Caenorhabditis elegans: one gene and its partners. The protein of the gene in region 4 purifies or fractionates together with the protein of the main gene of each other region. This does not show direct contact. Each region holds a gene or a part of one and is shown on either strand. Other genes may lie near its edges. The genes, in order: ipp-5, try-14, ppat-1 and kgb-1.

Region 1 (5,248 bases), on a different chromosome or scaffold from region 4:
AAGACCCCACAACGCACCGTTTTCAGAGAGTACAACCAGGTGGGTGTTTTTTATTTTTATTTTAGAATTCAAACAGTTCTCTTGGGGCTAAAAATATGGAGCGAGGCCCCAAGGTGTCACTCTTCATTCAGTTGCATTAATCTATACAATCAAATTTCCAGGAATTCCTTCTTCCAAGAGGCACCAACCCAGAACAAATCTCATCGACTCTTTCGACTGATGGCGTGCTCACTGTCGAGGCTCCACTCCCACAATTGGCAATCCAGCAATGAAACCAAAAATATCGCCGCCTGCTTCCTCACCAACCCGAATAACGCAACAAAAACTTTACATTTTTCTAATAAATCAACTTTTTCTTGTAGTGTAAATCATTAAAACTTGTAGACTCAACCATAATCCTTTCTTTAAACATGTTTACGATTCATTTTCCAATTCAATCCGCTTCATTTTTCAATACATTTAATACCTACAAATCTTATTGGTTGTTCATCAATTTTCTGGAGTAAATGTTCATCTTTTCATTAAATCTATAATAAGATCGCAATTTTATCAAATGATTCGTTTTAACAATTGATTGATACTGATGGAAAGTGTCAGGCAAAGCAAAAAGTGTATAAGACTAGCAATACATCACTGAAAATGGAGAGAAAAAGAAACAAAAAATCGATTATGATAAAAATTGTTTTAAAAAGTTAAAGAGTTCCCCGTGCATTATATGAAAATAAAAAGAAAAAAGAAAAGAAACACGTTTCTGATCATTCAATGAAAAAATAAATTTTCTAGCGGAAAAAAGCGAACTGGGAAAAAATGGAATTTTGATAGAGTTTGAAAATTGATAGTAACAACGAGAACAAAAAGTAGGTATTCGAAACTCAGAGTTCGCGCAAGCCAATTTGAAAATGTTTATCCGTAGCTTCGAGATGAAGAAAAAAAAAAAGAAAAATGGAGGCTGGCCAAAATGAGGGAAAATGGAAAACCATGTCAGATGTTGAATGTTAGCATGACCGGCTGAAAAAATAATAATTCAAATTTTTTTGTTGATTAAAGAGTTTTAGAATTCAAAAGATTATTTAAAATAAAAACTAAAACGAGGTCTTAGTGTAGTTTTTTTTTAACATATTAATCCAATGTAATCATCATAAAGCTATTCAAAATTATATTTAAAACATGTTTTTTTTTGATATTCAAGTATTCAGGAAAGTTGTTTTCAATTTGAACACAAGTTAACTTTTATTTTGTAATTCTGAATAATTCTTTGAAAAAGTTTAAAAATAGTATTATTTAATGCTGTTCAAGCTATTTTGATATACTGTTTAAAAAAAAATTTCAAATTTTTTAAATAAAGTTTTTTTAAGGAATTATTTTTATAGCAACAACAAGTTGTTGAAAATAGTCTGAATATAATATCAAATTAAATTCACTCGAATTCTTAATAAAAATTTGACATGAATTTTCCCATTTCTTTTTCACAGCTTCCAGTCAACGTTTTCTAGTCAACTAGTCAACGACAAACTGACAAATCTTGAATAAAAATGAGTTAATTTGAGAAGTTTCAATCATTTGTGAAGATTTTCAAAACCTTTTCAAAGCATTTTTTTTAATTATAAAATCTGAGTTAAAAAAAAACCAAAAAATCTGTTAAAAAAAGATATTTGTCTCTCACTACATAAAACTACACTAAATTATGTCATTGTTAAATATAGTATTTTAATAAAAATATTCCAAAAATTAGAATATTACCTTATGATCTCCAGTACAAGTTTCCATTCCAAATGACCTATACTGAGGCTCTCCTTCTTCCACCAACGAGTATGCATTTTTATTCATCAGAACCCGATCACACCATGCGGGTGCCCTAGTCTTCATCAGAGTTTCGGAATTTTCTGGATCTTCACTCCACGGGTATGTTGGAGGGAAATTTATATGCATCTCAAACATGCTCTGAAAGTTTTCGGTTTCTTTGTCGTCATCTCTGTACGATCGCCAGTCGTCCAGTAGTTTTTTGTGATTGAAATAGTCAAATTTCTTTTTTTCGATCCGTAGAACACAACTGCTGAAATTTTAATTCTTTGGTTCTTGTTTAAGTTTGTACTTTCAATAATCATACTTTTGACTATCATCGCTATCCGATTCTCTGCGGAACTCAATAGCCGAAACTGTCCTCCTCAAATTTTCGGATGGGTGGGTGATTACTTGAAGATTTGCAGCCGAAGCCTGAAGACCATCGGCCAGGGAGCCCATCTGCTCTTGGTCGGCGACTGGATGTTGAGCAGTACGTTCAGTTAAGCGCTGAAAACATCTTTATTTGTTTTCCAATTAGCAATTTGTCACCCATTACGTTTAAGAAAGAACGAGAGTCCAGCCTAAAATTGAGATCACCAAAAACAAAGAGCAGAGGCGTGCACCCGTTTTCCTTTGACGAAAGCTCGGCGAGCACAAAGTCAAGTGCTCGTTTCCGGTTTTGGCTGTATAGTTGTGGGTTCTGAAAACACCTTATATGCTCTGAACATTTTCTTTCAAACAAACCTCATGAATAAGGGCCAAGTTAGATTCGTCGTGAAAGAGATGTGCGTTAACAAAATCGAAAACTCTGAAAAAGGAATTTACTAAAAAAAAAAAAAGAAAACTGGGACTAACTTGTTTTCAATTTTCCACCTTGTTTGCATGTATCCTTTACGTCCCCATTTGATAGAAGGCCAAAAATCTTTAGGAAACTTGTGTTTGACGACGTATGGGTAGTTTTCCAGCCCATGAGTCACTACTTCCTTCGGGCTTGTCAATTGTTCGTATTTCTTTGTGTGAAAGTTGAATTGAGAAACGTTCGACCACAAGGATCTTTTTATAAAGCACAATGCTCCAAGAGCCTGAAACAAAGAATAAATTTTCAGAAACAACGATTTTATTGTCATTCTTACTGTGTACTCAATAGCTTCATAATCGATGTCAACGTATGCTCTGAGCAGATCAAATTTTGGTAGTGCTGTGGAGAGACGATTGATGATAATTGGGACTTGCTGTGAGCATTCAGTAAATTTTTTTCCTCCGGTTTCTTGAAGATGTATGACAAAGAACGATGGGTCAACACTTTCAACTTGCTAAAAATTTTAAAAATTACTTGTATCAAATTTATTACTTGAGTAATTTCAATGTTTCTTGGAAACATATTTTTAAGAAAATCGTATCAGGAAAGTACTGACGGTAAGGGTCAAGTAAAAGAAGCATCAATGCGAAAATGTTACTAAATAACCAAAATATCGATGGAGCCAATTCAAATGTAATTCAATAATTTTGGCTTTCACACTTGTATTTGAATTAATAAATCACATTCGCAAAACATAGGACTAATTCATTTGTAAAAAACTATGTAATTCTGAACCAAAAATCTGACTATGAGACATTGCGTGAGTTCGCTATGAACTATTAAATTTAATACTGCAAAAATATTTAAACATACATCCGCAACAGTTTTAATCCATGAAGTGTGCAACCGAGCATCCGGCTCGAACAGCGATCCGACGTTCGCCGTTATCAGCAAATATTGAACCATTTTCTACAATAGTAACAGTTCGATTGAAAAGTCGAGTGTTTAGAACAAGAGCTTGAGCAAGAGAAAACGAGAAAGTTATATAACAATAAAACGAAGTTAGGGTTGTGGGATGTGCAATATGTGACAGCGAGATTTAATTTCAAAACGGAAAGGAATTCATTGAGATGGATAAAAACAAAAGATATAAATGCACGCTATTGTGTTTGCTCTTTGATGAATTGTGCATTCAGTGAGTGCTGCAGAAACTTTTTATTGAATAATGCTCAGTAATTTTAGTGAGAAAATGCTAAACAAGGAACAAAATGTCAATCATTCAAATTATCTGTAAATCAATTGACTTACTTTTTTTTCTAATGAAATTAAGTTGCTTGAAAATAGTAAAAAATTCTATCCGCAAACAAACGAATAGCATTGCCCAAGGACGATGTGTAATGATATATTTCTACCTTGTAAGGAAACCTCTTTGAAAAACGGGTTTCGGGTATTGAGGCGGGCCCAGGTCAAAATTCAAAACCTCCTAGAAATAAATTGCGTCTTGCCGCCTTTTTTTTCGTACTGGAATGCAACTAAACCAACAACAATGTAAATTGAAATGACAGAATCCAATTTACTGCTAACTTAGTTGTTTCTTTTTTCGGTTTTTTTTTCAGTTTTTTTAGAATTTAAATTGTCTTTATTCAAAAGGTTATATCAAAAACAAATTAACTTGGGAGCTTAGTGACTTAACTCGGAGTGCAAAAACGTCGGAAAACAAAATCGACACACGACGAAATTATGCATGAGCACGAGCTACATATATAGAGAAAAAGCGAATAGTTTTAGAGAAAAAGTGGAGAGGGCTTTCGCCCGAAAATTGCAAGCTGCTCGGCATGAGAAGAAAGAACAACAACACATGATTTGAATTTTCGATTTCTCCCAGCATCACATTTCTACACACTTGGTAGAAAAATTAAATTTATATTGTTCCTTAAGAAAATTAAAGTTTTGAAAATGGGTCAATGAAAGTTCGAACATTTTTTGAAAAAAAATTAAACAATGTTTAACGAGTCGAGCGCCAAGTGGCAAATATTTGATGGCATTTTTCCCTCTTTTTTTTTTGCTCGGATGACAAAATTGTCAACATCTCGGTTTGTCGTATTGTGAGGTTTCCCTCCAGCAATTCGATAATCTTGTGCAAGGCAGTAGACGTCTCGTTTTTTATGAGAATTTGAGCTTATTCTAGATTTCGATGGGCTCTTCTTTCTCAAGAGCAACATCCACTTAAGGTTTCAAACAAAAAAAACGTCATTGAATGGTTAAATGTTAAATTGAACTTTTTTTAGTATTTCCTCGTTGGATTTATTGTAAAATTGTCAACGGACAAAACACTTGTTATTTCTTAGAAAAAAGTGTAAGGGTTAATAGCCAACATCAATTGGCCAAAAATATGTATTTTAATTAGCAAGCTGTTCAGGTTTCCATTAAGAACATTTCTGAGTTTCAGGTTTTTGCGGTATATTTCAGTATTAAAAATTTGCCAGTTTACAAGAAGGGAAAAAATAATTCTGAACATTTACTAGCTTTGTGAAAAAAAAACTTTTTAGAATTTTGTTTAATAATAAATATTTTTTAAAATTTAAATTAAAACTTTAAATTGTATTTTTGATAAAAACAGATGTTTAATCAGGCAAACTGTTCACTTGCTACTTTTGAGCTATTAAT
Region 2 (4,322 bases), on a different chromosome or scaffold from region 4:
AGCTGAGGAAATGGGCGAAACCAATGGGAAATTCATTTTCTATGGCAACACAGAACGTGTATAGTTGTAGCATAGAGTTCAAAAGAGCAGACATCAAAACGCACGGCTTCAAAGAATTTTTGAACAGACAACTCATTAATTAGAATAAGCTAAACACTTATTTATTTTCTACGTTTACTTAGTTTTTTGGGTAAAATTTTGGTAATTGTGAAGTATACCAGGTTCAAAAACATTTTGCAATACATTTTCCGTTCATTTCTTTATAAAACAATTATTTAATTAAAAACTGAAATTGATTTGTATTTCCATGCTCAAAAAACACTGATCCCGAGGATAATATGAACACAAAGGGTCACGGACACATTTTCAAAATGGTTAACATTTTTGGGCTAGGTATGTACTACACAAGTACCGAAATATAAAACATTCGAAGTAATGAGAAGTTCGTTGTTTCAAAAAAATAGAATGTTTCTTTTTCATTTTTTCTGCAACAAACATCTGATTGATTTTCAAACACAATTATTACACTAAAAGATTCTTGAAAAAGACCGATGTTCATTTAGGTTTTTGCAACAATTTTAATTGAAACCAAAGGATAGAATGAAAGATGCAAACGTAAGAATAGAAGTACAGAGCAAACACAAAATGTGCACACGAAAATCAATACGTTATAAGGGACCAACAAGTGTTTATTGCATCATAAAAACATTTATTTCAAAGGGAATGAAGAATGAAAAAGTGGAATTTAAATTAGAAGCATTTGTCCTGTGCTTCAAAAACGCTAGCCTTGTCCACATTCTCAATAGCATGGACAAATGTATTGTCGCTAAAGACAACAAATTGCATGGTCTGGAAATTGATAATATTGGAAATCCACATAATGGAGAAGATTATTTACTTTGCCCCTTGCCCCCCGTTTCTTTTAATCTCATATTTCCTCCCGAAAGTCCAAAAGATGAGAAATCAATCACCGGCGTATTTTGTTGTCTGATAAGATTCTCAACACTACAAAATGCGGTTTTTTATAAAGAATTTCTATTACGTAATGTATTCAGAATAATTGCTCGTTGATTTTACCTGAACTTCTGAGCAGTTGACAACCACCATTGTGCTGTTGTCTTCCTTGTCCATCTATAAAAATCATAAGTTTAAAGACAAAATAAGCGATAAGCCTACCTCACGCCCGTAGAGACCAGAAACAATTCCTACTTGAACATATTTATTGTTTTCTACATCCAGAACACATTCCAGTGGTGCTCCTATATCATCCTGAATTTGAACAATTACTTTTTATAAAAACTAAGTAATGCAAAGTTTGAAAGTGTGTATTTCCAAAAAACAACAAAAACGCTTACCCAGCAAACACGACCTGTAGAGTTACTGTTAACTTCTGAGAACATGAGATTTTCTGTGTCAGCGTGAACATCAAGATCCAATACTTGGACTTTGTGTGAAGTAGCGAAGTCTTCCACTAAAAATATAATAACTTATTTAGTAGCTACATAGTTTTGTAGTTACGAACCATCTTCCGTAGTTTCAAATCCAATCACTCTACATTTGGAATCTTGAAGATCCCTTGGCACAATTGTACGGTAAGTAGCATCAGTCAAGCTTGGTTTGAAGTTGAGCCGTGCAACTCTTGGTGGGTGTGGCTCCTTATCGCAAAACTATAAAAATAATTTCTCTAATAAGAGTTGCAAATACTAGAGTCTTTTTTACATGATCTTCATTAACCGCATCGATTTTCATCAGAGCCAAGTCGCCGTCAATTTTCACAGCAAGCATTGCTTTGTTCATGGTAGCAGAGGAATCCTTCTTTTTGATAATAGCTTGTGCAATAAGGTTCCTAAATAAATATTAAATTGCCTTCAAATAAAAATCCATTTCAGCGTTTCTTCTAAACCAACAGTTGCTATACATATATTTCTATAAACTATCTCTGGCATAGTTTCGTCTAAGTTTTCAATCGAAAATTGTCAGCACATTCCGCACAACAAGCCAATTCACGAATCTTTTGCGTAGTCGAATTCAGAGCAGAAAAAGTGTAAAATGTAAGAGACTATAATGCGCTATGTTCGTTCGTAAGCTTCTTATTTTGCTACGGGAATATTTAAAAATTTGAAACCATACTTTCTGGTGTCTGGGAAACATTTCGAGCTGGTTAGCACAACGGATGGAGACAAAAGAGTTCCCGTGCAAGTTGAGATATTCTTCAGTTTGGTATCCTTAGTGAGTACCTGAACATAAAACATAAAATTCGAAGCGAGTTGAGCAAGTCTTACCTTCACCAAGTACTGATGGCGTTCCCATTTTGCCGGGTCCGCAATGTACATTGAAAACACGAATGCAAGTAGAGAGGAAACGATGACCGCTCGAAACATCTTCTTTCGATCAAATGATTCGAATGAGGATTTGACCCGACGAGCATCGCATTGATATTGTTGTAATATCCGCTTTCAGAAAAATCAAGCAAATGCATTCTTTAATACACCCACACATCAAGAAAAAGAAAATATTTATTGGATAGAGAGAGGCAAAAAAATGTTTCAAAGATTCATCACAAGTTTGACAATATTTGAAAATGAAATTTTGAAAGCTCTCATAGTCAAAAGCTAAAAAATAAATAGCAGAAAAAGCGAATCGACTGATTTGGAAAAAAATATACCCAGAGTTTTGAATATCATAATGGTGATTGGAAACATTTTCAATAAATAACGGGTAAACTTGGCATATGAAAAGATTAATTTAAAGTTCCGTGTGAGAGTCATCATTTTCAGAAATGACATTATCCGAAGGGTTATCAGAAGAATGTCCAGAAATGACTTCCCGGATTTCGTCATCATACGTTTTCCATTCTCCAATAATTCTGGCGGCTGAGTCGAGCTTTGGCTCTTTTGTGAGCGGGTTGTTGCACTGAAAATTGTTAATTGTTCACGGAAATTTAAAACAGATCAATGGCACAGCATTTCAGTTGTGTTCAATCAACTTACCAAGTCAATAGTCTTTGCATTCTTCTTGCTTCCATCATCGCACCAAGTCTCACACCAAAGCCACTCTTGTGGAAGCGATTTGATCTTAACCTGATGGATCATGTTATTTGGCAAGTCTTGATCCAAGTTAGCCAGACTGTTTGGATCGCCAGATAGTCCTTGATATTGTCCACGAAGACGATCTCCGGCAGCGATTTGACGGAACTTTTGAAGATCAATAACGTAGAGAGCACTAATGTGATATCTTCTCCCAGCGAGATGGTTCGCCCAATATCCTTGCTTCCAGAATCGGAATCCGTCCATCTCCTTTCTACTTTCACAGAATGGCACATATCCGTATGGCGCATTTCCAAGATCAAACTTCATCAGCTCCATCAAATCAGCACGCACCACCTGGTCAGCGTCCACAAAGATCACCTTTTGAACATCAAGTGGGAAGAGTACATCAAGGAAAAGAATCTTGAATCCCCACATAATACGTTGTTTCTCCTTCTGCTGGTGAAGCCACCTTGGCCACTTGTACTCGATCAGTTCATACTCGAAACCATAGTGCTTGGCAAGAGTTGGAAGTGTCTCTTTGAATTGTGGCGACAGGTAGTTCTTGAGAAGCCAGAATTTAACTGGATGCTTCGTGTTCTTCATGACCGAGACAATCATGATTCTCATGAACCGTTCGTACAAGTGACCGGATGCGAGAGAAAATACATTGATCACTTCCTGGGTTTTTTCTTTGCTGCTCACCAAGCTGAAAATAACATTATGAGATTATTTCAAAAGAGTTTAAACAAAATGCTTACTTGCTAAGACTGCTCCAAACACCTTCTTCATCGTCGGAAAGAAGATTTCTCTCCTCCATGCCTTCACGTTTTTCAACACGAACTCTTACTGATTTACCAGTGAATGAGTCAATAACAACTTGAAGCACATCCTCCCCAATCTTCTCCGCTCCAACATGCGATCCAATCTTGTAAATCTCACTAGATTTTCCATCACGGATCTCTAGTTTCCAAGCACCAGGATTTGCTTTAAGTTGGAAATATCCTAAATTAGCCATAACGATTGTATCAAATTGTTTAGGGTTCTTGTCCGTTCCCAAAGTGAACTGCAGACCGCGTGGTGGTTGACCACTAACTTCGTCGAAACACTGTCCATCGAGAAGTAAGTGTTGGAGTGCAAACTCGGCAGTGACATCTCCGTTGGCTTGTTCCATCTTGATGTTATCCAAATCATACTTGGCAGAAACGGCTTCCACTATCCATGAGTCGGGAGCTTGCAGCGAAAGTGTCAGAAGTTGCTTACTGGGAAGATTATCGAACCTGAAATTGTGAAATT
Region 3 (5,066 bases), on a different chromosome or scaffold from region 4:
CAACAAAACTTTGAAGAAGCTGCAGAATATGGGGATCAACTATGATTTCTCTGTGTCTGGAACACCAAGAACGCCACTTAAGAAGGTCATTGACAATGAGGTTCAATTTATCAGTGATGTCACCCCGAAAAGCACGACTCCGAAAATTGTGAAAGCTGCAACTCCAAAAGCAGCTACTCCAAAGGCCGTGACTCCAAAACAAGCAACTCCGAAAGTTTCCACTCCAGTCACCAAAAAGGTTGTCATCAAGACTCCTAAAACTGAAAAGCCGGAACCCAAACAGTTCACTCCAAAAACTCGCGCAGGAAAGAAGGCAGCTGCTGCTGCTACTCCACAGGCTAAATCTACGCTATCCAACGTACGAAAAACTTTAAATAAAATTTGGTTATATTAATTTTCCAGACAATCCTCAAATCCGTCGCTGCAAGTGCCCGTCCAGCTGCTGTCGAAAAGAAAACATTGAGATCTCGTGGAAAGAAGAAGAGCTTGTAAGCGTCCTGATTTCTGTTGTTAATCATTTTATTTTTTTTCCGCAAACTGTTGTTGTTCTTATTTTTATACACATTCATTGTTGATTTTTAATTGAATTGATTTTGTTTTTCATGAATACAAATAATCTATTCAAACTTTTCAAACACTAATTATAAATCGATAGCAACTGGATATTTTCCAGTGAGACATGCGGTGCAATGTCCTGGAGAGAAGTTGGCAGCTCGTTCGATTCCTTTTTGAACAGACTGAAAAAAAATTAAATTGAGGAGAAAGTGAGGTTCAAACTCACCGAAACTAAACCGTCAACCGAAAGATACCGTACTGAATCGGCTCCAACAAATTGGCAGATTTCTGGAATTGTTTTTTCGGCAGCAATCAATTCCTTTGTGGTTGGAATGTTGATTCCCATAAAACATGGGAATTTTACAGGCGGGGAAGCAATTCGTAGATGAACCTTTAAATTTAGAGGTATTATTTGAATAATGCGGTCTTGACACGATCGAAATTTCTAAGATACCGTACTCTACCGTATACTCCAGTTTCTCGTTTTTATGTATTCCGCTATTGTTTTCTTAATATTTGCTGAACATCTAGATGCACAGTTTTACAACAAATATATGTATTGGAAAAATCTGCAAAAACGGAGAATTACTCGCGTTATACGGTAGCTGAAAATTTTTGCTCGTGTCAAGACCTTTTTCACGGTTTATAAGGTGAAAAATCATTATTTTTAACAACAAGGGTAATACCTCTTTTGCTCCAGCATCTCTTAACATTTTTACCAAAGTTCTCATCGTATTTCCACGTACAATTGAATCATCTACTAACACAATCCTTTGTCCATGAATCTTTTTCTTCAATACTCCTGAAATAGAATTCATGAAGTCTTTCTAAATAGTTTTCTTTATTTTACCAAATTTCATTTTAATCGCATTTTGTCTCATCTCATCATTTGGTTCTATAAATGATCTTCCAACATATGAATTTCTGTGTAAAACAGGTTCATATGTGATTCCAGACTGAGAAGCGTATCCAATTGCTGCACTCAGCGAAGAATCTGGAACATTTCCAACAATATCTGCTTCTAGATCATCTTCAAGAGCCATCGTTTTTCCACATTCTTCACGAACAGTTTGTACTTGTTGTCCTTCAATTTCTGAATCATTTCGTGCAAAATAGACATATTCGAATATGCACATAGCCAGAGGAGTATTCGGTTTCATCTGAAATGACTCATATAATTCCAGGTTTCTGATTTTTCAGCATAGCCCATCTGTCTCGATTGTAATTTTGGAAAATACCAAAAATAACCAGAAAGTCTAAAAACTACATGTATTTGCAAAACTTTAAAAACACTTTTTTAAATTTTAATGTCTAACAAAATACATACATGAGAAAATGAGGTCAGAGAAGGCGGTAGGTAGGCGCGTAGGCAGGCCAAGATATATGTAAGTTTACCTGCCACACCGACTTGATTCCTCCTGTCGATAATTCCACAATTTCTCCTGGTCTCACTTCGAAATCTAATTTAGCATTTGCAGGAAATGCACAAGATTCAGAAGATGCAATGAATGCTTCTGGATTTCCATTTTTAGAATATACAGTACCAACACAAAGTGGACGATTTCCAAATGGATCACGAATTGCGTATAGTCTATCAAATGTCATTACTAGTAGAGAATATGACATGTTTAGTGCAGACATTGTTACTGCGAGCTCCTGAAGTTTTTTGGTTTAAGAATTTTCATGTTTTTCAAAAACTCACTCTTGTAATATCACCCATCTCTTGTCCATACTTGCATTTTACATTCAGAGCAATCGCTTTTGCAATCATTTGAGCAATAAGCTCTGAGTCAGTGTCAGTTGATAAACCAACACCTTCATGAAGTACTTCCTTTCTTTTTTGTTTCGCATCAACCAATTCTCCATTATGAGCAATTGCTACAGTACCCATTGCAGTATATACCACAAATGGTTGTACACAATTGATTCCAGACTTCTTCTTTCCTGCAGTTGAATACCTATTATGACCAATTATTATCGATTGCCCATTCATTCTTGAGATATTATCTTCAGTAATCACATCTCGGACAAGTCCATGACCTTTGATAATTTCCACGTGGTCTCGAGTGATTCCATCTGAACCAACGAGTCCTGTTGATTCAGTTCCTCTGCAAAATATACATGATAAGAATTGCAAATTTGCAACTAATTTGTTTTAGTATTTTATTTTTCTATCACGCACGGAAAACAATTTAGAAACTAGACAATATTTGCAAGAAATGCTAGACTTATTCATTTAGCTATTTCGATTTTTTGCAAACTCAAAATCACTGCACAATCTACTTGTTTGCAACAATGTCAACCACTGCAACGCTACAAGCACTTTATTGGTCGTGTGTCCGAGTGGTTAGCGCTGTTTGCTGTGACCCACGAGACGCCAGTTCAATCTCTACATACGCGTCATTTTCATCCAATTGGCAACGTGATTCTAATGTTGGCGATTCAGCGTATTTCTGACGCAAAATTGATAACTTCTCCATTGACGTCTAGTCAGACTAAACTGGCTCGGATACAATTAGGGAGTTTACACTTTTGCCTTCTTGTGGAACGATGGCTTAAGTTAAGCAGAAGCGGAATGAACGGGAAGAGAAAACGAGAGCTTTTTGAAAAATTAGATATTTAGGAATGAGGAGCTGAACAGTTAAAAATTCAAACTGAAACCAATGTAGGAGATGTATGAAATCAAACTTTTTGAGACAGAGCTTATTAAAAATTTAAACTTAAAACCCCACCTGTGTTGAAGAGCAGCCAATCCATTTGCAGCAAGAACATTCAAATGCTCATAATTTCCAGCGGCAACAATCCCAAATATACCACACATTGTTCGGTGTGATCGTCGTCAGAAATCAATTGCCTAATGTGCATGTTATTATCTTTTTCGATGCTCTGAATGTTTGATACGCCAATCATAAAACCTTTACACCCTCCACCTGCTATGTTTTTAAAGTTATTGCCTATTTTTCATGGAAAAGTTCACTTCTGTCGATAGAGCCAGGTTTTTGAACTTTTTCCGCTGATAAGAACAAGTGAATGTCTAATTGAAGTTTGATTTTAAAAGGAGTTTTTAGGTTTAATTGAAAATAAACACGTTGCTCGGGAATACGATAACTATAAGATGTGAATGAAATAAAACTTAACCTGGCGCGAGAGCTAAAATCTTCGGCTTTCAGAATCTGTAATTTACTTTCGCAGCAGATGCATGGAAATCTGGAGAGTTTAATTTTAAAATGTAATACTGAATCTAATGAAATTCCTGTTTGAAAAAGGTTTGTGAGTATGTTATCAAACTTTTGCAACTTTCTGACAACATTTTTCTGTAAAATTTTTTTTTTTCTGCCAACTTCAATTTATTTGAGCAGATTTTTTTAGAGTGTCATGTTGTGTCTAGAAAGTAGATATTGTTGTCACTTGGACTCCGTAGAGCCCGTCCGTCCCAACTTTGCGGATGTATGTGCTTGGTCAGGTTCACCCACGTCAACAGTTATCAACTGTCAATATGGACTTCGAAAATATTCTTTACATACTTTCCTGTTAATATCTGAATTGGTAAAATGGTTTTCGTTCTTTGAAATTCCAACACAATTCAAAAATCAAAATATCCCTCTGTTTGTTATTGAACATTGACCACCCAGTTGTATTTACAAGTTGACATTAGGTTTTTGAATTTCAAAAAATTTCCGAACAACTTCGCTTTTCTCCATTTTACTTGAGCTCCCTGTCAAAAATAGCCTTTCTGTATGTGTGTGCATTGTTTTATATTTGAACAGCGAAATTGCACGTGAGACGAAGAGACGCAGACAGCAAAGATTGTCGCGAAAATGAGCGCCCACTTACTTTTTGGCTAAACTTATCAAAATTGCTCAAAAAATAAGGAGACAGTCAAGGATATATCTTTTGAAAGTTAAGCACACATATCTGAAATTTGTTTTACTGAAAAAAGAAGTTGCTCAAGAAAATGCCAAGTCAATCAGTGGAAGAACAAAATGTAAGTTTAATCCATTTTTATATTCGTTTAGATTTTTGTAAATTAGAAAATATTAAAGGTACATAGGTGAACTTGAAAATTATTTTTGAAGAAAGTTTTGAACGTTTATAAAAGTGACTCACAAAACTATTAAGTAGTTTTGAGTATTTGCTCAATTTTGTGGTGACTTATATGTCACATATTTAATCAAGATTCAACCACTCATATTAATGGGAAAAGTATTCTAGTTTAGAAGTAGTTTTTAAATTTTTTTTTAAATTCTATGCTTCCTTGCCGCAAAAATCTTTGCTATGGGTTTCATCAATAGTGGTTTCTTAAATTTTTCCGACGCTTGATTTCCCATTTGTTAGGTCTATACATTTTTCTTGAATTTTATTATAATTTCTCTAGCTCTGCTTTAAAAAAAAAGTAGTCCAAATCAGGCGGACAAGTTCACCCGACAGCCTTCCTCGCTGTTTTCAACCCGATATCTGCCTACTGGCCTACTGGTGTGCACATAGTTTCAGACTAGATGCGCGTAATAAAT
Region 4 (6,631 bases):
AACGAGATGATTGTGGTTATTGGGTAAGTGTTCAAAGAATATACATAGAAGTTCCAAATTTAAAGGTGGAGTAGCGTCTGTAAGTTTTTTGCCATAAATGACAGAATAGAGACCCAATATACTAAATATAACTGTTAAAAAATGTAGAAAATGTATGAAATTTTTCTAATTTTTTAATGATTTTTTTCTTAATTTTACAAAAATTTAAAAAAAAGGACTGAATTAAATTTGAACTCCCGCGCAAATGAGTGACGTCATTTTCGAAACTTTTGCGTTTTCAGCCTATATTAATAGGTTTTTCTTCATTTTTCCTTTGTTTTATAATTTGAAATACAGTCTGTCAATTTTTCAGACTAAAAGAAAATGTATGATTAATTTTGAATAATTAAGCCAATTTCAGAGTTTCGGTAAGTTTCTTCGCAATTATCAAGTTTGAAAAATGTTTGAAAAATTGAAAAATTATGTTTCAAATTATAAAACTAATTGTAAGAATAAAGAAAAACCAATTAGTTTGGCCGTAAAACACAAAATGTCGAGAATGACGCCATTAATTTGTGCGAGAATTCAAATTTAAATCGGCCTTTTTGAAAAAATCATAAAAAATTTATTATTATTTTTTGATTTTTTAACAGTTATATTTGGTAAATTGGGACTGTATTCTGTCATTTATGGCAAAAAAACCACTACTTCACCTTATAATTTAAAATTATCCAACTCACTATCTCTGTGTTTCATTTTAGCATCGAGTTATCACTTCCGATGACTAACAAATGGGAAATCTAAGGAATAATGCAGAGATTGAAAAGAATTAGAGAAACAAACAGACAAAATCAAGTATTATTTAACAATTGTAAAGAACAACCAAAAAACCCCACAGGAAAGACCACACAGAATGTGGACCCACGACTTTGGGAGATTAGGCACCTACGAGATTTCATGGCCCAAGTTAATTGGGTAGCGCTTTGAGTTGTCATAAATGTTAATAATTGAGAAAAAGATATTTAAAACTTAAAACGTACATATTAAACTTATTTCTTATAGAATTTACTTTCAAAGCTTTTATTATAGGCGGTCGATTTGTTCTACGGCAACTCTATTCTCCAAAACAGAGTGGTGTCTCTTTTCTGTCTGATTCTCTACTTCTCTACACATTTTCAATCCTAGGTGTGTCTCTCTCTGAAGGATGAAATCTCTATTTCTCTGCATCTCCTATTTGGCTTCAGCCTATCGCTTCTCTTCCGCACACAAACATTCACTCAGTGACGTAACTTTTAATACCTACACTATTTCTCTCTTTCGCATTGTCAACTTATATATATATATATGTATATAGATCATTCCTGTACTATTTAATTTTTAATTATAACTTTTTAAAAAGGTTATTTATGATTTAAAAAAAACAAAATCTAAAGTGTCTTTAAAGTGTAAAAGTAAAAATTGGCAGGCTGGGTATACTGCCTTTTTTCTTCAAGTTTTCGAATCTAAGTAAAAATAAAAAATTTCCCCTGCTTTTTTAATACAATTTTAGTTTGAATTTTACTTGTTGAGAATAATAGACTTCAATTATCTCGATGCAGTATTATGTATTTCACTAATAATTAACAGCAAATACCTCAAAATTACCCCGAACTCGAACTATTGCTAGAATAAACCATTCGAGTAACCCGTGTATTTATTGTAGAGTTCGTGAGAAAAGGATTAAAGGATTAAAGGACGATCCGTTCTTCAAGCGCTATGCACTGCGGATCTGGGAGTCAGGTACACTGCCTGGTGGTGATCCCACTAAAAAAGTAATTAGAGTATTATAGAAAAAATACGATCGCCCAAAAATAAACAACGGCGCAACGACACTCCGCTGTTTCTGAGACCCGCCCACGATTTCATTTGCACTGCGGCCGACACATTTCAGTGCAAATGAAATCTTGGGCGGGGTTTAGAAACGGTGGAGTGTCATTGCGTCGTTGTTTATTTTTGTACGATCGTATTTTTTCTATAATAAAGGTTTAAAAAAAAGAAACACACTATTGGATGTTACATTCCAGTCAACTTGATACCTAAAATATTTAAATTTTCCATTGAAATTAGTGTTGACTTTTGTTTCCTAAATACGAACATCCTTTCAAAACCAAGCGCAAAAAGTGTAAGATCATTCACAACTGAAGTCAAATTTTTGAAGTGTGAACATTTTTTGCGTCATGCAAATATGAAATATGAGTTTATGAGTCGATTAAAAAACATAAAAACCCAAACAAAAACGCTGAAATTTCATTAAATGTTAAAAAATGACTTCTTTATTACAAATCCAAAGTTATGATTAAACATTTAAAGATTAGCTGCAAAGATTATTTATTAAACTACATATCTTTCTATTTTTAGTCTATTTTTTAAACATTGTCAGGTTTAGTTTGCACTTCAAAAAATGAAAACTGTATTTCACTAACAATATGTACATATATCCCCTCCCTCATTTTTTTTCACTCCAGAAATGGAAAGTCAATATTTGGAAAGAAAATAATTTTCCAAACTGTTAGAATCTCCGTTTTTAAGATTTATTGATTTCTACGTGGGTTGAAATGACTCAGTTTTGATGAAACTCAACAATTTTAAGGCATTTTTATCAGTTCCGGTTGGAAAGGAAAATCAGAAACATTTTTGCAAGTGATAAGAATTATGAAATTTTTATAGATTTTTTCAAACGTTTATTTGGAAATTGAAATTATACTTTTAAAAATTTAAGAAAAGCTGAAATTTAATGACTAACGTTTATATTTAATTTTTGAATTTTAAGTATTTCTCCCTGAAACTAATAACTTTTTAGGCACAATAAGATGGAAGTGGATCTGCCGGTACATAACGAGTATGATGCGTCTAGATTTCATCAAGTTACAATTAGGGTTTGTTACTAGATACTTTACCTCCATTCAAATTCATTTTCAGGACCCGATAGCCGGCGCGGACAGCACTTTCACTATTCCAACTCGTTATGTAAACCTTAGTTTTCTGAATGCCGGCGCCCAAGGAACTGTCGTGTGAGTTTTTACTAATTACATTAATATTTTATTGAAGGAAAAATAATAGGGCGAATTTTTTAACGCAGTAAACAAAAAATTTCAATAGACAAACAAATATTAACACTTCAAAGATGTTAATCAAAGATTTGATAGATTGCCAAATTTTCGAATAATTTTTACTTTTTCAAACATTTCACACTTTACTGCAAATTATAGCCCCAATAATGTTCAAATACCAAAAGATAAAATAAATTTTTTGAAAGAACTATGAATTTTAGTCATTTTAGAAACATATGGCTGGTTTCAGAGAATCCTTTCTCTGGTCGTACTCCATCTTTGAATGTCTCACTGCCTTTCAATTGTATATTTTTACACTTTAACTTTTCTTCGGTTTTGCGTAATTTCAAACACTGACACAATGATGACTTCCCGAAAAAAAACGGACCGCCCTATCAAAAAACTTTTAAAACAGGTAGAGGTCTCGAGATCATTGTTATTCGTCATTGCCCGCTGCTCCACCTCTAAGATTGAAAAAGCTTGAAAAAATCAATAATCAAGAAGATCTTCTAGAAGAATGAAAGTGACTGAAATTAAATTATCGCGCAAATGACTTCAAACAGAATTTCTAAGTTAAGTGAACAGCCATAATTTTTATTGATTACATTTAGAATGGCCGATGACCTAGTAACAACGCAACGTGTGGCAATCAAGAAGATGCAACAACCATTTGTGATGACAATGAGCGCAAAGCGAGCATATCGAGAGTTTATACTGCTAACGACTATCAAACACCCAAATGTAAGATTCAGTTGGAATCTAGAAAAAATGCTCCAAATTTCAGATAATCCGTCTACTAAACGCGTTTACACCGGACACTTCACTTTCAACGTTCCGAGAAGTATATCTAGTTATGGAATTAATGACACACAATTTGCACGAGGTTATACATCGATTAAGGTAAGAGACATGGTGGCTGATTTTTATGATTTTTTTTCAGTAATACCAATTTTTATAGTAATATCTAGTATACTAGACGTAATTTAAACTGTATATGATGGACTTGTTAGAGACTAATAGACGTAAAATATTATTTTTCTGTTATTGATTTTGAGAACAAAAGAATAAAAATAAAACAATAGGAAAAGCACGATATCTTAAAGAAGGAGTGGCGGATTCATTTTTGCTCTAATAAACTCAGAACGACTCCAAAATATCAACCTTTTTTGTCTCAATTTCACGTTTAATAAACATATTCAACAATAATAATAAGTTTATTGCTGACACTTTTCAACAAAAAAAACTTTTAAAAAAAGAAAGAAACAAGGGCAAAAGCTAGACTTTCAATTTTGCCGTCTTTCGCGTTTCCCAAGGTCGGAAATACATTTTTATCCAACCTTGAGTACCCACTTGGAAATGTGCCGAAACCATCATCAAAACACGCACAGTTAGCTACCAGAACACGCGTAAAAAAATAAAAAAAATATTCCAGCGTGTTTTGAAAATTTTTGGTCAAGATTTTAGTTAACTACCAAAAATCAGAATTTTTAAAAAAGTTTAGAACACTTGCACATTTGAGCTCCTATTCATGATTGTTCAATGATTCAATGATTGAATATTGAATATAAACACATAATTAGATTCTAAAAAAATTTTCTGAATTATTAGATTGGACCATAAAACATTATCATTCTTCGTCTACCAGAGTTTGTGCGCAATCAAGCATCTTCACAATTCGGGAGTCATTCATCGTGTACGTATCTACCACTATAGACAACATTCTGAAAAATTCAAAGTTTCAGGACTTAAAACCATCGAATATTGTCGTCAACGATCGATGTGTATTAAAAGTTTTAGACTTTGGATTGGCCCGGAAGAAGAATGTGGACACATCGATGAGAATGTCAGATTATGTGGTGACAAGATACTACAGAGCCCCCGAAGTTATATTAGGTCTTCCCTATTCGGAAAAAGGTTTGTTCGAAAAAAAAAAAAATTTTTGTAATTTTGGGCTGGACTTCCATCTGCGCTCCGGTGAGCCGCCTCAAACAGCCTCACGCCGTACGTATCCGCATGTAAAGTGCGCGTAAAACCCCAAACGTGTCGGCCGCTTCCAAACAACACTCTCAATTCATAATTGCAGTAGATATTTGGTCAGTCGGATGTATATTTGCTGAAATGATCAACCATACCGTACTTTTCCCTGGAAAAGATCGAATTGATCAATGGACTAAAATTTATAGTGTTTTGGGAACACCAGATGATCATTTCATTAGTCAATTGGGTCAGTCAGCTGCTATGTATGTTCGATCGTTGCCACGTCATCAGGCACGAGCATTCAGTGAAATCGTTCCTGATACCAATTTTCTGCCGGAGACTGAAAATCCAAGGGTCCATTTGACACGTGAGTCAGGCTATACAGGATTTTGAAAAATAAATCATATTTTCAGCACACGTGGCTCGTGATCTCCTGTTCAATATGTTGAAAATCAATCCTGAAGAAAGGTATTCAGTTGAAGATGCACTGAATCATCCATATGTTAAGTTGTGGTTTAAGGTACAACAATTTTAGCACTAAACAAAAACAATCAAATCATGCATCTCAAATCTTACAGGACGATGAGGTAAACGCCCCCGCATCAGAAAATCGATACGATCAGGAAATTGATTTTGCCGATAAGACACTTATTGAATGGAAAGAGCTAATTTTCAACGAAGTGCAACGCTATCAAGCCGACCACGACATTTTCACTGGATAATAAATAATAAAAAACCTAAAATTGTTTCTTTTTCTCTCAAAAATAATTGTGTTACTTTTTTCTTCAAAAATCTATCTTTCAGTTGTGTTCTGTCACTTAGTTGGCCATATTTTCTGGTGATTCTCTGCTTATTTTCTATATTGATTATAATCACTAAATGTTAATTATTTTGGAATACAGATTTTTTGGAACTGTTTTGTTTTAAGTATAAGAAATTGAACCTTAGCTCCACAAAATTTGCATCTCATTATAAAGTAGGGATTGTTTTTCGATTGTATTGTCAGGTTTAAATTCAAAATTCTAAATCAATAAATTAATTTTTTAGGGACCAGGTCCCCTATGAGGTCGCCACAGCGGCGCCCGCGCCGGCCTCACAGCGTCAATCACAGTGCATGTATCCGAATATATAGTGCGGCAGGGAACCCGATCGTGAAGTCCGCGCCTCACTTAGCTGGGAGACCTATAGGTTTTTTTTCTTCAAAACGATGCTTTAATTTTTGTTCTCAAAAACAAAATGAAGCCAAAATGGGAATCCAGAACGACCGGACATTAAATCACACAGATGGACAATGGTGGTCTTGAATAAGTACATTTATTTCACAAAAATTGAACATTCAGTAAAAGATGAGGTTTGAAGACTGAAAAGTGGGCTGGACAACAGAAAATCGACTTTTGGGTAGTAAAAGATTTTTGATATAAAGATGGGAAATAAAGTATATGGACATTTGGACAAAAAGAGAAACAGAGACGCCTTGAAATGTTTTCAAATGATTCTTTTAGTATTCTATTCTAGAATTAAGAAAAGCGGATGGAAAATATTTTTTTGGAATCTTGATATTTTGTAAGTTTGAACTTTTGGGTTTT

What was found.
Region 1: the proteins of kgb-1 (region 4) and ipp-5 fractionate together in Caenorhabditis elegans (co-fractionation; one large-scale study listed by BioGRID). This does not show direct contact.
Region 2: the proteins of kgb-1 (region 4) and try-14 fractionate together in Caenorhabditis elegans (co-fractionation; one large-scale study listed by BioGRID). This does not show direct contact.
Region 3: the proteins of kgb-1 (region 4) and ppat-1 fractionate together in Caenorhabditis elegans (co-fractionation; one large-scale study listed by BioGRID). This does not show direct contact.

What each region holds. Positions count from the first base shown.
Region 1 is NC_003284.9:6,029,771-6,035,018, reverse strand, and holds ipp-5 (putative type I inositol 1,4,5-trisphosphate 5-phosphatase), read right to left. Parts: upstream 3,551-5,248; 5' UTR 3,548-3,550; coding exon 3,455-3,547; intron 3,096-3,454; coding exon 2,916-3,095; intron 2,865-2,915; coding exon 2,638-2,864; intron 2,591-2,637; coding exon 2,527-2,590; intron 2,483-2,526; coding exon 2,339-2,482; intron 2,290-2,338; coding exon 2,108-2,289; intron 2,054-2,107; coding exon 1,741-2,053; intron 1,009-1,740; coding exon 982-1,008; 3' UTR 536-981; downstream 1-535. Other genes in the region: hsp-25 (SHSP domain-containing protein), read left to right, coding at 1-39, 162-272.
Region 2 is NC_003284.9:7,493,184-7,497,505, forward strand, and holds try-14 (Peptidase S1 domain-containing protein), read right to left. Parts: upstream 2,409-4,322; 5' UTR 2,382-2,408; coding exon 2,283-2,381; intron 2,238-2,282; coding exon 2,131-2,237; intron 1,847-2,130; coding exon 1,720-1,846; intron 1,668-1,719; coding exon 1,523-1,667; intron 1,472-1,522; coding exon 1,356-1,471; intron 1,270-1,355; coding exon 1,177-1,269; intron 1,132-1,176; coding exon 1,078-1,131; intron 850-1,077; coding exon 751-849; 3' UTR 541-750; downstream 1-540. Other genes in the region: uggt-1 (UDP-Glucose Glycoprotein glucosylTransferase), read right to left, coding at 2,746-2,913, 2,991-3,735, 3,788-4,306.
Region 3 is NC_003281.10:4,687,655-4,692,720, reverse strand, and holds ppat-1 (Amidophosphoribosyltransferase), read right to left. Parts: upstream 3,442-5,066; 5' UTR 3,377-3,441; coding exon 3,288-3,376; intron 3,088-3,287; exon of another isoform or gene 2,950-3,087; intron 2,664-2,949; coding exon 2,258-2,663; intron 2,212-2,257; coding exon 1,951-2,211; intron 1,716-1,950; coding exon 1,406-1,715; intron 1,358-1,405; coding exon 1,242-1,357; intron 947-1,241; coding exon 782-946; intron 738-781; coding exon 642-737; 3' UTR 550-641; downstream 1-549. Other genes in the region: nifk-1 (RRM domain-containing protein), read left to right, coding at 1-358, 403-492; tag-243 (Costars domain-containing protein), read left to right, coding at 4,511-4,540.
Region 4 is NC_003282.8:405,084-411,714, reverse strand, and holds kgb-1 (GLH-binding kinase 1), read left to right. Parts: upstream 1-1,681; 5' UTR 1,682-1,758; intron 1,759-1,842; exon of another isoform or gene 1,843-1,953; intron 1,954-2,818; 5' UTR 2,819-2,828; coding exon 2,829-2,894; intron 2,895-2,937; coding exon 2,938-3,029; intron 3,030-3,679; coding exon 3,680-3,809; intron 3,810-3,852; coding exon 3,853-3,968; intron 3,969-4,676; coding exon 4,677-4,761; intron 4,762-4,810; coding exon 4,811-4,982; intron 4,983-5,151; coding exon 5,152-5,412; intron 5,413-5,458; coding exon 5,459-5,565; intron 5,566-5,623; coding exon 5,624-5,767; 3' UTR 5,768-6,094; downstream 6,095-6,631. UniProt on the Caenorhabditis elegans protein: Mitogen-activated protein kinase which is an essential component of the JNK pathway composed of mlk-1, mek-1 and kgb-1.